Lytechinus pictus: one gene and its partner. The protein of the gene in region 1 binds, or shares a complex with, the protein of each later gene. Links are inferred from orthologs where the notes say so. Each region holds a gene or a part of one and is shown on either strand. Other genes may lie near its edges.

Evidence for each region.
Region 2: meckelin-like (region 1) and transmembrane protein 237-like share a complex: the UniProt entries of both Homo sapiens proteins name them as parts of the tectonic-like complex. The link is inferred for Lytechinus pictus from reciprocal best matches to the Homo sapiens genes TMEM67 and TMEM237.

What each region holds. Positions count from the first base shown.
Region 1 is NC_087246.1:22,606,232-22,613,182, forward strand, and holds the start of meckelin-like, read right to left. Parts: upstream 3,016-6,951; 5' UTR 3,006-3,015; coding exon 2,816-3,005; intron 1-2,815. Other genes in the region: peptide deformylase, mitochondrial-like, read right to left, coding at 6,859-6,951. UniProt on the Homo sapiens protein: Required for ciliary structure and function. Part of the tectonic-like complex which is required for tissue-specific ciliogenesis and may regulate ciliary membrane composition.
Region 2 is NC_087245.1:17,041,652-17,049,636, forward strand, and holds the start of transmembrane protein 237-like, read right to left. Parts: upstream 3,009-7,985; 5' UTR 2,956-3,008; coding exon 2,938-2,955; intron 1-2,937. Other genes in the region: uncharacterized protein LOC129264684, read left to right, coding at 5,842-6,036, 6,642-6,933, 7,348-7,491, 7,809-7,880. UniProt on the Homo sapiens protein: Component of the transition zone in primary cilia. Required for ciliogenesis.

The DNA of each region.
Region 1 (6,951 bases):
AGCTGTAATTGAAACTGACAGTGTAAAAAAATCAAGCATTTGTCCCAACGAAAAGAGAAAATAAGCCAAACATTGCCAACTTTATTTTGCCACACATGGAGATGTAACTGAGAACAAGGTTATATCATAACCTTGTTCATTGAATGAGTGTGTCCCACTGCACTTACAGATATGCAAAGAGGATGTAAAAAAATCTTGCAATCCGTTGGAAAACGCTATGCATCCGCTGTGTACTCATTGCATAGGTGTTTCATATGCTCTATCCATTGAGCATCCGTCCACCCAGATTTCATCCAAGCAAAAAATTTTGAGCTACACAAAACTTTTCGAGCAAATGAACTTTCCGTCGTGTACAATGCGAATCCGCAACATTTACTGGCAGCAAAAGTTCCGTGTCCGTTATCATCCATTTAACGTCGGCTGTATCCTTTCTGCATCCTCTGGGCATCTTCATTTGGATGGATGGATACAATATGATATAGCATTTTGATGCTGATCTCCGATAAAAGTTGACAAAAAAGAAGATAAAGAAACTAGAATTCTATTCTCTAATGCATTACAAGCACCATAACTGTACACACTGTTCTACCTATGAGCCAAAGTTGATCAAAAGGCAAAGCAAAGGCAAGCTCAATTGGCAACCCTGACAAAATAAAAAGCAGTGAATATCAAAACTTTTTGCACTTACATATCGGTATTTAAGTTCAGATTTAAAAAGAAGAAAATAACTGGCCATTACTGTGTAGATTTAACTATGAATTGATGAGTCTACAAATTGATAAAATTAGTTTGAAAAAAAAAGAGTAAAGACTAAATGGCCCAAATATCAGACAGTTCCAAATATTGGATGAAAATTACTTCAACTCCCTCTCTACATGTAGGCTACAACTATGCTGTCTATTCATACGGTGCGTTTGGGTGTGCGAGGTTAGTTAGTATAGATCTAGACCAAAAGCTTCGGTCTCTGTTATGTTGGTTGTTCAGCTGAACTCCGTTGGCTTCACTCACCAAATACAGAGACCGAAGTTCTAGCGCGATCTATACAGGGGACTCAATGGCCATATGTTTATGTGTATTAAGTTCGGATAAAACAGGGCAGTGAAGTTGCGCGACAGCCGAGGTAAGTCACTGTTTTTGTTCCTTTTAACTTGATTTTCCCCGTTTTTGGCAATCAATGCCAAGAGGGAATATTAATTTGCATTTCGGTCGCGTTAATTTTCAAAAAATTGATTCATTAAAGACAAAAATTGAAGAGCCCCGACGGGGGGATTTTGCATTGTAAGTCCCCTAATGGTGGCTGCACGATAGCGAGCCGTCTGTGTATGAGGAGAAATTTAAAAAATAACAAAAATGTTAAAAAACTCCTCGAAACAGACGGCTGCCAGCTGTCTAGTATAGATCTAGCTAACCTCGCAAGAGCGTATTGGGTCACACAACGTATCGTAATTCGTACATAAGGTCCCCCAACTTGTCTGCGCAGTCCCCCTTGTGGTGGAAAAATAATGAATTTCAGGACAGCCTCAAATTTCTCAAAATGCAGCCTTTCTCATAAAAAATCCCTGAATCATGTGCAAAGTGAATGGGTGTGCAGACATGGGGTAGACCCTGCCAATTTTTTTTCAATAATCAATCTGAATGACTGCCAGCTGCCCGAGGTTTTTCCCACTCCTAGTACCAATGAGGTCCAACATTACATGTATGGACCTCATAGGCGACATCAGTAGTATTTTTGGTTAGAAATCTCTGAGAACAGGATATTTATATATTATATCACAAGTACAAGCTATATTCCTTTCTCTTATTTAAATTATAATTTTATAGTGTAAATGCATCGTTAGCAACAACAAAAAATGAAAGAAATGAAGGGGAACTTACATTTTCACGGCTTTTTCCTGATTTTCTGGGCAGCTGCTCTTCTCTTCTGACTCGCGATCGAAGCTGATATGAAGATCACGTGATTCGCGTTCTCGTCAGCTGATCGGTTGGTTATTCTTTTCGTCAGACGTTAATAATATATATTTTATAATGCTAGCATTCATCGCTAATTTAGGTGAAAGAGATTGAAGTTAAACAGCGCCAGGTCGGAATCATAATTATTTTGGAAGAGTGTATTTATACACTCGATCTCATACCTGACGTAGACGGCGCTATTCAACAAATGCACAATCTTCAATATAAAAAATAAAACAGAAAGAACGCCTTGAACACAGGCCAAAATGCCTAACGATTTCTCCGCGGCATTAACAACTATCGTAAAGGGCGCTCCATTTATCAATAAAGATGGATGCTAAGCTGTCTATGGCGACAAAATTTGCCGCAAATATTTACGAAGAATTGTGAGAAATGGTCTGAAAATGCAACAAAAGAACCGGTGAGTACCGATTAAACATTATTAAAGTTGTAAATAGATTATACATACCTTGTAGATTTAGTTTTTAAGGTGATATTAGTGCTTAGTTCTAAGCTAGGGAGGCTCAAACGCGCGTGAGTGGAGTCCCAGTTTATTAGCACGGGTAAGTATTGGGGTGTCGCCTAGAGTGGTTTTTCCAACTCATCCAAATTCCTGGCTATATTTCTTTAATTTTTATGAGATATTTGGTAGGGCCTACACTTACTCATAATAATATAAGGAACATTACTAACTGAAAGACTTTGTGAAATAAAAAGAAATCCATGTTCATAACTTAAATCTTAACTCAAATTAGGTGCGCAGACTTGGCCCAAGTCTTGGGGAATGGGGACCACCATCAGGCATCACACCAGCAATTAATTGAACATGTCGGACTGTCCACAAATGTATAACAAATAGTCTTACCATCAACGGTAGGTTCTTGGTTGTCTCCACAAGGATCACATCTTAATTCTGCTATATTGTAGTATTCTCCATTAGCTATACATTGTTGTACGGTCGTGTAAGGGAATGGATTGGTTGAATTGACCTCCATTACCCAGAAAATGAGAAGAAAATATATCGCAAATCTTTTAATCGGCGACATTTTTGGCATCACGTTTCCAAGGATCCGGCCGGCTAGGCGCGGCGGCGAGACCGCATGACTGGACCGACATACCCCATTATGGAATCGAGGCCGGTCTGGCCCTGGAATCGTGGGGCTGGATTGTGGGGGCTGGATTGTGGGGCTGGATTGTGGGGCTGGAATCGTGGGGCTGGGGGGGGGGGGGGCAAAACATAATTTACTACTAAGCTACGCTTTTTGTTACTTTTCTTCGTGCTTTCTTCCCTCTTTTCCCCTTTTCTCATTTTTTTTCTCCTCACCTTGATATCGACATCATCATTCATTTTCATCATAATCATCATCACTATTCTTCTCTTTTATCCGATCATAATTTAGATCATTTTATTATAATTAGCCTCACCATCATCATCATCAAACATCACTATTCTTCTCTTTTATCAATATCAATATCATAATATAGATTAACGTTTCATTATCATTAGCCTTAATTACCATCATCATTATCATCATCATCACCAACACCATCATTACCATCATCATCATCATATTCATCATCACCCTCACCATCCTTACCACCAGCTTACCGCCATTATCGTCATCATCAATCATCATTATTCTTGTCTTTGATAAATATCATGATACAGGTTAACAATGTTATTTAAAAAAATGTACATTATGATTGTTGAGCTTTACGTAATAATGAATAATTTCATACATTTCATTCAATCAGGGGTAAAATTTGGCAACCAATTAGTATTTTATTTCATAATATTTTTTTTATATAACATTAATTATGAAAAAACTGGTATGCCAGAACAAATGAACAAAAGTTGATGAGGCAAAATCAAGCAATCTTTCTTTGCTGGACAACAGTACATAATGCCATAATGTCATTATCATAAATCACACAATACACTTAAACAAGAGAATAATGGAAATTATATAACAAGAGTCATTATAATTATCAAAATTTTGTGAAGCATTTCCTCTCGTCTGACTTTTTCAATGGGACAATTGTTGCAAATCGGAGTAAAGCCTGATGAAGGCATCATCACCACACAATGTTTTCAAATTCAGTGGTAAAATCTGGCAACAAATTAGTATTTTACTTCATAATCAGTGGCGGACCGTGACCCCAAGGAGACAAATGATTGGAGGGGCACTGTATTCTTTGTGAACAATACTGTGCCCCTCCAATGCTTTGTCTCCTCTGGGTCACAGTCCGCCACTGTTCATAATATTTTTTTTAAGTTACATTAATTATGAAAAAACTGGAATGCCAGAACAAATGAACAAAAGTTGATGAGGCAAAATGAAATGTATTTCAAGCAACCTTTCTTTACTGGACAACAGTACATAATGTCAGTGTCATTATCATAAATCACACAAGACACTGAAATAAAGAGGATAATGGAAATTATATAATAAGGGTCATTATATCTATCAGAATGATGTAAAGTATTTCCTCTCGTCTGACTTTTTCAATGGGACAATTGTTGTTAATTGGAGAAGTGTCTGATCGGAGTAGATCAGGGCATCATTACCACAATGTTTGCAAATCAATCACAAAGACGGTAATGACCATTAATTAGGACCATTGTTGTATATGAATATTTTTCAACATATCCACTATAAACCAAAAAAAATTGTCTTTGAAATTTTCAACCAATAAAAAAAACATAAGGAACATTTTCCTGTGGAAAATTGCAAATGGAAAAGCCTTGAGCATGCCTTTACTTACTACCACTTTACATTTTAAAGGGATGCTCCAGGCTGAAATTTATATGATTCAAACAGGTAAAGAAAAATCAGACAAACAAAACACTGAAAATTTGGTTAAAATCGGACAATGAATAACAAAGTTATGGCAATTTAAAGATTTGCATTATTCCAGTGAAACAGTTCTAGGCATGTCTTCATGAATATTCAATGAGCAAATTGATGATGTCATTATCCCCACTTGTTTTTTTTTTTATTTTATTATATGAAATTAGGTTTTTCAAATTTTTTCTACCAAGAACTTAAAAAATTGGATTGACAACTGATTTAATGAAATTTATTGCTGCAACTTATTTCATTATAAAGGAGACACATTGTTCACACATGTGTGAAAAATGAAACAATTATGATTTCATGTAATAACAAAAGGAAAGTGGGGATGTGACATCATCAGCCCACCTAATGAATATTCATGATGATGTATGTAACTTTTTTTTACAAAATATTGCTAAACTTTAAAATTCAATAACTTTGTTATTTGTTATCCGATTTTGATGAATTTTTCAACATTTTGCTCTGTGAATTTTACTCTATTTATTTCGATATATTTTCAGCCCGGAGTACCCCTTTAAAGGGATGAATTGGATGGTTTAAAAAGGATTGTGTACATGTGCAATTATTCAGAGGGTTATGCAACAAGTCAAATAACTTACTACGGCAGTGCGTATTAAAGACGTACTTGAAAGAAGCATTACAAGATATACAAAGTTTAGCAGAACAACAACATGTTGCTCTGCCCGTGCATACTACACATGTAACTTGCCAAGGCATTTTTAAAAATTAAGATCAATTGAACCAAAGAATGTCAATTTTGTTGATGATTTATTTATCTTTAGATGAAATTACACTTCATTGTTACAGAATAAAATCCTCCATATTCATGATTATGATTGGTTTATACTTAAGGGGAAAATTTGGGGCAAGAAAAATCCATTAGTACTTGAGTTTCAGAGATAATTTGCATAAAACATTATTTGCACTCTTTCATAGTTCACAATTCATGATAATACATTCAGAAATGTTTTTATTCAGTATAGAGAATATCTCACACTAAACATATTTTCTGTAAGAAAAATAAAATAACTAGGTCACTTTATTCTAAAACTACCACAGTTAAATGTAGATAGTAGAAAATCTTCTGAACAGGCGAAGGAGCTTCTTTTTTCCATATCAATTCATATGACTCATGAACTATGTGTATTTCCACCACAAATGCAGAATATGCAAAGTTCAAATGAGGAATTCAATAAGTTATTGGACATGATTATAAAAATAGCCAAATAGCCCATCGAAAGGAGGATGGCAAATGAAGCAAGAATATGTACCGGTACACTGCAACCAACAGTTAGATGTAATGGTAAATTGCCAATTCGTCCACTGCCAACTCATCCACTTACCACATGGTCTGCCTTCATTTAGTCTAATGCCATTCCGTCCATCAACATTTCGTCTAACAACCATTTGGTCCAATAACCATTTGGTCCAATCATCACTTAGTCTAATCACCAGTTCGTCTATTACCATTTCGTCTAATAACCAGTTGGTCTAATACCCATTTTCTTTTCATTCACTTTGCACAATTAACATTTTAGTTTAATAAAGACCAAATGGTATATGGACAAAATGGCTATTGGACCAACTCGTTATTCGACGGAATGGCATTGGACTAAATGAAAGTACACCATGTGGTCAGTGGACGAAATGGTAGACCAAATGGTAGTAGACGAGTTGGCAATTGGAAGAAGTGGCATTCGACAAATTGGAAATAAAGTGATGTAATTGGGTAATTAATGTCAATGCAAGAAAGGAAGTTTGTATCAATTCAAAATACACAATCAATTTAACCAATAAGAGACTGACTGAAATGAAATCTTTGAAATTTTTATAAATCTCAAGCATGCATATATATGTGTGCTCAGTCTCCAACAGCTACGGGTCAATTCTTTGAATCACATTCGGTGAAGGACTCTTGTACTGAACAGGTATGTAAGTTTCGGCAGGCTGGGGGTTTCTTTCAAAAGCAGATACCCGACAATCGACTGGCAGATCGAGCGCAAAAGCTCATATACTACTTCAGAGGTTGACTGACTGATCATTTCTGAATTCACTTCTCATTCCATTTAGGCCATTGTAGATCAGCAAATGTCCGGGTGTCCATGCGATCAATGTATAAAGTTCCCTGAAGATGATCATATTC
Region 2 (7,985 bases), on another chromosome or scaffold:
CATCCTGTATCATTCTATTTCCTCCATTTCGCGCGAGGAAACTTTTAGTTCATTATTGGTTTTATCATTTGAAGTAATTATGTTTCCGTCAACTTTTTAATGCAAAAGTTTTAATCTGGGTGAGAAAAGGAAATAAGATGAAGAGCTTCTAAAACCTAACCTATTATAAATTCATTCTGTAAAATGACATGAATTAACAAATTGTATTTTTTAGCCGCTTCATCCCCGTCCCACAGCTCAACACCTGCACCATAAAAAACATTGCTGTCCCTTCTTTTTCCAAACCATCTAAACCAAAATGGTTTAGATGCTAACCATGGTAAGCGCCCCAAATGCGATTTTTTTTTTTTGGTCGTAACGGGGGGGGAAAGGGGTCCAGGACGGTCTTTATTCTTATCTTTTCTACCGCGTTACTCGCAATTAAAAACAGAAAATCGGAGACAGGAGACAAACAAGCAATATTAGAGTGTAGGTCAGAACATTTCCATCAGGGGAGGGGGGTCAAACAAGAACAATAATAAAAAGTCATAAGTTTGGGAAGGGTCTGATGACCGAGTTGCAAGAAACAAACATTGTGGGATTTTTTAAAAGTAATCTAACCAAAAAATAAAGTCATGTTGTAATTCGTTTAAGTAGATATTCATAGAATTTTAGCAAAAGCGCACTTGTCTGTTCCCCCTTTTATCTCTGTCTCTCATTCTCTCTCGTCCTCCCTGACATTTGAACATATTTTTTCGATAATTTCCCTAAATAATTATTCGTTCATCCTTATATGCATCATCACCCAGGGGAAGCGCCTTTTTGCAATAAGAATTACTGACGGATGTCATAAGCACCTGTGTTGTCGGTAATGAGACATTTTTTTTTTAGATACGGTATGTTGGTCGAAAAAAATGATTCATAAAAGCTTTTTGTATTGCTAAGTACGAAAAGCGTTCAATGGGTCATCCTGCCGATAAACACTAATCTTCCTTTTGTTCGGGGCGTTGACCATTTGTATCCTGCTCTTTTCGAAAGGAATTTGTTTGAGTGGCCGCCCAGACATTCTTTTGTTCGGGTAGTGCCGATATCATGAACTACATGGACGTTCCCCTTTTGAAAAGAGCAGAAGATGAATGGTGTGCTAAGCTGCCTTCTTTTCTCCTTTTTTCAGAATAGTAGACAAAAATAATGAGAAGAAGAGGGATGATTGGGAGGGAAAAAGTTCAAAAGTGCACCGAGATCAGCTCAAAGTACTAAGACATTACAAGCTTTTTGCTTTTCTGAAAATGCAATCGATCGATGAAACCAAGGAGATATCATTCTATCTAGAGTGATATCTTCTTGATGAAACAAATAAGACGAAAATGGTGAAGAAACGCGTAGCTTATTACGTGACGATCTTGCAGAAAAGATGTTAGCGTATATCTATCAGAATAAAAGAACTTAATGTTGGCACTGTAAAAACTGCATTACTCGTGAATTTGTTTCGCATTTCTGATGTCTTATTATTATTATTGCCAATACGTGGAAAACCAAGATGCTCTACCAGAACAACGATATGGATCAAATCATGTGATCAGAACAAATCACGTGATCAGGCCTTATGCGCGCGCGTACGTGCTCGTCACAAAATTTATCCTCCCCGTCCGACTCCAACGAAAAAATCGGGTAAAGTTGAAATGATTTCCTATTTTCGGGATTTTTCCCCACGTAGCTGTATATTTTTTTCAATCTGTTATCGAAATAGGTTTATGAAGGAAATAGTGGCAGAGGTTTTAGTACATAACAATTACGAAAAAGCTGAAAAACTTAATTGAATTAAACCAAACATTTCTCGGCTTCTGTAGAAGCCCGTCGTAGCTAAGTGAATGACTCGCTGGGCTTCTGTGGAAGCCCGTCGCACGCAAAGGGTTAACATTAGCCGTATGCCACGATATTGGCATCAACGCATTGACAAGCGAACCAACGAGCCTATACAAATTTTGTGCACATTCTCGAGAGAGCGCTATGGCCGTGCCTTTAAATTTATTATACGTAGAAAGAAGGTGGTATTAACATCAATTTAAGCCCCCGCTGGCACATCTCCCTGGCAATGTTCATGATGTGAATTGGCCGCTGCTCTAAAAATAAACATGAAATCTGAACTTCACTCTAAATTAAAAATATAAAATTAAAGTAAAAACAGACAAAATATTTGATTTCTCAAACATTTTCAATAGACTTAGATCTAACGTTACTCTAAAAATCTAGAATAGACTAGGTATGTTACTGTTAGTTACCTGTTACTAGTAGTAGTAGTAGGATAGTACTAGTGTTACAACTAGTTCAGACCTAGGCCTACATGAGTAAATTTTACTAAGTATAGACTCACTAGTAAAAAAGACACTATCGAGTATCGTATCGACGGTCTATACTTTTTTAAGCTAGACCCTCAATTTCCAGGAATAAAGCCTTTTAAAGGCAGCCAAGGCAAAGTCCAAACAAAAAAGGCATTTACATTAGGTCAATACATCATGTAGGTGGTAGATCTACTCCAAATAATGTATCAAAAGTAAAATGAGACGAGGTGGCAGGTAACGGTTGCACTGTAGGCCTACATCAATGAACCACGTGGTCAATGCCGATCGTGGTCTCGGAGCTGGAGTCGCGGAGCGTGGACTGTCACTGGAGTTAGCCGGAGTAGCCGTCTCCACAGCGGCCAGGTCGCGCCAGCCACTCCCGACGCGACCAGCTCCAAGGACGGTGCCCAATTTCAACAAACCGTCAATTCAACCGTCACACTCACTCAGTCACTCAAGTTGTAGAAGCCCTTTTTATCTACAAATATAACACCAAATGCAAATAAATATTTACCCGCTTACAGCTGAAAGTATACCGAATTGGTTATTTGTCAAATTCTTGCTAAGTTATTCAGTAATTTTCGATACAAGCATTTTTAATTTATTGGAAACTTACCAAGACAGCGGCAGCCATTTCGAAAGGAATTTTTCAGTGCTGCCCTCTTGTGGACGACACGAGAATAGTGCGGATTTTTTTTTCTACTGCACTGCCACCCAAACCTACGAATAGGCCTACCGGTATAATTTATCTATTATTCAAATTCAGTTTCAATTTAACTTCCAACACAAAATACACCCAAATAATCATTTCATGCATTTACAATGAATAACATTCAATGATATAAATGATATGAAAACACAGGGCTGCAAACTCTCACTCAGAGAGTGACTCTCACTCATTTTGGTCCCTTTTCAGTCTCACTCTAAATTTTGCATGCATTTCTATCAATCTCAGTATCTCACTAGATTTTACCCTAAAATTATATAATTCGCCTATGGGAGTCTCACTCTCACCTAGTTATCTAATATCGGTTGCCCTACACAACAGGTTACCATCATTGGTAGAAATAAAACAATGTCAATAAGAATTAATGAAGGAAAAATAAAAATAATGCAAACAAAAATTAATTGAAATTTTATGTAAAATTGAAAGTACGACATGGTTTTCGCTTATTAGCAGAAAACAGAATGAAATGCACATCAATGGCGATATGCAAGTGGGAATGCACAACCTTTCGTCACACATTCACTATATTTTCATTTTATATTTATTATTATTTGTATTATTTGCATGAATACCTGAAAAAGAATTTTTACATTATCCTTCTAAAATGTAAATAATGGTTTGTTTTAATACTCACGGACCTTGTTTAGTCATAATTCGGAGTGGGTTTTTTTAATCATCAAATCTGTAAAATTTTAACATTTTGATCAATGCTTATAACAAAATACAACAACAACAAAAACAGAACGATCGATTCCGTTATTCTCATAGCATACATGATCCCAACAGGATCGTATGCATTGACCAAGAGTTTTGTGAAGAAAAAAAAATATAAACTAAAAATTGTCATATACTAGTAATTTGTTTTATTTTAGGCCCACACATCCAATATGCGACTGTTCATGCTGCATGCTGCCATGTCTCGTGCAAAATGTGTAATACGATCATGAAAAGGGCGGGGCCTGTATTATATCACGTGTCCATCCGACACGTGAGTTTTATGAGCGCGCAGCGCAGGTGAAGGGTGGGGTGGGGTGCGGGCGGGGGTGAACTGGGGCGGTATTCTGAAAACCGTGTTAGCACAAAAACGGTGTGGTGTTAGCTAACACGATTGGTATTCTGAAAATCGTGTTAGCATGAAAAACACGTGGCCCAAGTGGTAACACCGCGCAGGTCATGAAATACGCAGTGCGCAACGCGCAACCCCCATACGCGGTGTTAGGGAGGAAGATAACACGAAATTTGGTATTCTGAAAATGGTGTTAGCTAAAATTTTGTTCAAAGATAACACGAAAATTTAACACTGCGTTAAGGAGAGGTTAAGTTGGGGATGACGATGGCTGCACTTTTTCTAGCAGACGCAAACGTCAAGAAGAACATAAACGGGCAAATAACTATCGTTTGGCAGGATTTACTGTAATTTTCTTTCTTTTTTCCATTTACCTTTAGTCTCTACTAACAATGATTAAACAACAATTTCTTTGGAATTTCCTATGAAAATACAATTTAAATGCATCTTTGATTTGGACTAATTAAAATCATTATCATATATGATCATGAGTTATTTATTTGGTTACTTTTTGCCATGATATAAAAAAGACAAAAAGAGGAAGAAAATTACAAACGTCTAAAAGAAAAGCACAAACAAAAATTAAAAAGAATGGAATTAGCAATTGGGGAAACTTCTATAATATTCACATTTTTAAAAACCCTTTTTCAATGATTATATAGCTCCAATAATTTTTTTTAACTCTCAATGCTTCTAGGTTATTCTCAATCTATCTATCACGCCAGTCAATCTATATGCTTCGGATGGGGGGAGGGGGCGGTCAAAAGTGTTTTTTTTTTGCATGGCTGATCGCTCTACGCATCAAATTATAATATAGAAAAAAATACAATTTTGTGTTTGATATTTCTATGTCAGATTTAATTTTTCTTAAAGTGCTTTTCATGCTTTTCAAAATTTGCATTTTTATTTTTTCAAGTTCTCAAAATTATTGGGGGCATGTATAAATTATGCTTGCCCCCATATCTTAGGGCGATCGTCCCCTGCCCGCTCCACAATCGATCGAGGCCTCTGTCTCCTGTTATAATTTCGTATCCATGCTGTCTGAAATAATCAATTTCTTGTATTATGTTATTATTTTGTTATCTTGTGAAGTATGAAAATAAATTCAATTCAGTTCTTAATTGTCACAATCACGTACCCCTCCCCACGTCTCTTTCTAGCTCTAACTTTTATTTACTAGTAGCTGTATGCGCTTACAGAATGATGTCACAATGCAGGCTTCGTATCACCGTGCGCACGTTCCCTTTTCCCTGAAAATTTTGCGCGATTTGTTTCTTTAACAGCGCATTTGATTGGATTAAATAGATGTAGAGTGGGAGGAGCCGAAGATAACACGAAATGAGATAACACGCAGATAACACGGTTTTCAGAATACGCCCAGAACCCAGCCTGAACCCATCGTCTTGCGCGGTTGTCATTATTGTTGATCCTTTGGTTTATCCATTATGACATCACCAAAACGTAATATAGGTCGGGTCACGGGATGTCTCGAGTAAACTTTCCCACGGTGACGTCAGACATAAACAAATCCACATGACACATGCACACGAGTACCGGTACGTAGACAGCGAACAGAAAAGTCGACTCGATGTAAAATGACGAGCAACTAAAACGTACGGCTGGTTTCGGCTTTCTGGAAATAGCAAAAAAAGCACTATTCAGTAACAGTAGACCAAATTTTTGTAAATATTTGTTTTGTTCATAATTAGGTAAAATAAACAAAAATCATGTCGGATGTAAGTAGAAGAGGGGCGATATATGTCCACCGCAGTGACATGGAGTCGTTGAAGAATAACAATTACAGTACCAAGAACAGCAGGGAGAGTATTGGGGCTATACCAAAAGCGAGTAGCTCCGATAGATTTCGAACTAAATCTGAAGATCAGGAAAGAAGAAGCAAGAGTACCATACCGTCAAGTGGGGTATGTAAAATGAACAAAAATAATTTCATGGTGTCCATTTTTTTTAAGCCAGCCAGGCACCAGATATCACCCTGTTAATATTACTTTTGGTCTACAGCTTCTCCAAATGAATATTGATGGCAATGTGATTGTGAAGAAGAAGAAGATGATGATCATGATGACGATGATGATAGAATAATAAATAGATGAATGAATAATAGATGGGTTTTTCCTTATATCAAAAAAATTGTGTTTTTACTTCCCTGAGAGTATTACATAATATACTATCTGGAGACAGAGGCTGATCCAGATGCCCCCCCCCCCCCCGCTCAAGGACTAATGGAATATTTGGTGTTTTTTTTTTAATAGATAATACAAGCTAGTGTGTAGGCCTTCGAAGTTTGGAGGAGGGGGCTCTTTCCCTGACCCTGGCGCCAAGAGGAGGCAATTATTGCCTAGTGATGTTTTTTATTATTATTATTTTGTGAAAATGAAGAAAAAGTTATGGACCTGCCCCCCCCCCCCCCCCCCGCCTCTCTGGTCAATCCTGGATCTTAATTTTAACCAGATAGATATCATGAATTAATAGGAAAATAGATTTATATCATGATATTCTTTTTCCTCAGCAAAGTCGTCGTGGAAGCGTAGCAACTGGTGGAAGGCGAGGCAGCACCATGGGCGACGGGTACCTCCGAAGAGGTAGCGTGCTACCGGAGACTGGCTCGGGAGGTCGACGCCAGAGTACTGTTGACTACGGAAGGGGTCCAGCTTCCGGCAGGCGAGGGAGCAGCCACCCTGGAGATGGTGCATATAACCGGCGCGGTAGTCGAATGGATGACATGTCATACTCTCCTCATCAGCGACGCAAGAAGAAATCAGCTGAACCCGAACCTGCACTCACCAAAGAGCAGGTTGAAGGTATTGTTTGAAAAGGGAGCATATCTTCAAAGAGATTTGGCAAATCTTTTATAATGTAATCATATTAATTGGAATGACATTCTCACATTGGAATCTTTAAAAATGTGTAATAATATAATCAAAACTTATAATGAAAGTTCTATCGCTTTCATGGATTTATTCTTTCATAAAATATAATTATTTTAACAATTTTTGCCTAATTTCAACTATGAAATCGTCACAGCCAGGAGGGGATGGTCATTGAGCTGCTGTGTCTGTTGAGAATATTATAATTGGATTGGATTAGATGGGATTATATTTGATTAGATTATAGGTAATGTTTAAATTGAGATGTTTGGAGGTTTTTAGTGAAAATTAACCAATGATGATTTTTCACAATCGTCTTGATGGGATTTAATTCATTTTTTTCTTCAGCTTTCCAAGAGGTGTTCGATCTCTTCGACAGCAATGGTGGAGGAACCATTGATGCAGATGAGCTTCAGCTAGCTTTGAGCTCTGTGGATATCCATCTACCCGCACAAGATATCCGAGATGTTCTGGAAGGGATCGACAAAGACGGTAAGATTTATTTACATTTTAGAAAGAACGTCAGTGCCAGACAATAAAGACTTATGCCATTCTGTGAATATTCATAGCCAATCCAATTGCATTTATCTATTTATTTATCTTTTTGCAAAAACATGAACATAATGAAAAATGAAGATTATTGTCACGATAAACATTCATTTAATTATGCTTGAAATAAAAAATAAAAAATCACAATATTAGGCCTATGAGCTGGAAACAAATTACCATCTAAAACCAACAGTTTTAGTCAATTATCAAGGTTAATTGCCAATTAATGCTTATAAATTATGTTGATTGTTTATTTGCAGGAAGTGGGGAAATTGACTTTGAAGAGTTTCTGACGCTGATGACAAATACTGAAAAATTCCTTGAAACTGTTGGTAAGTATAACGAAATAATACCACAGTGATAGCATTGTTTATTATGATAGACCCATGATTTTAAAATGGGGGAGGGTGGCAAAGAAAGTTGATCGATTTGGTTTC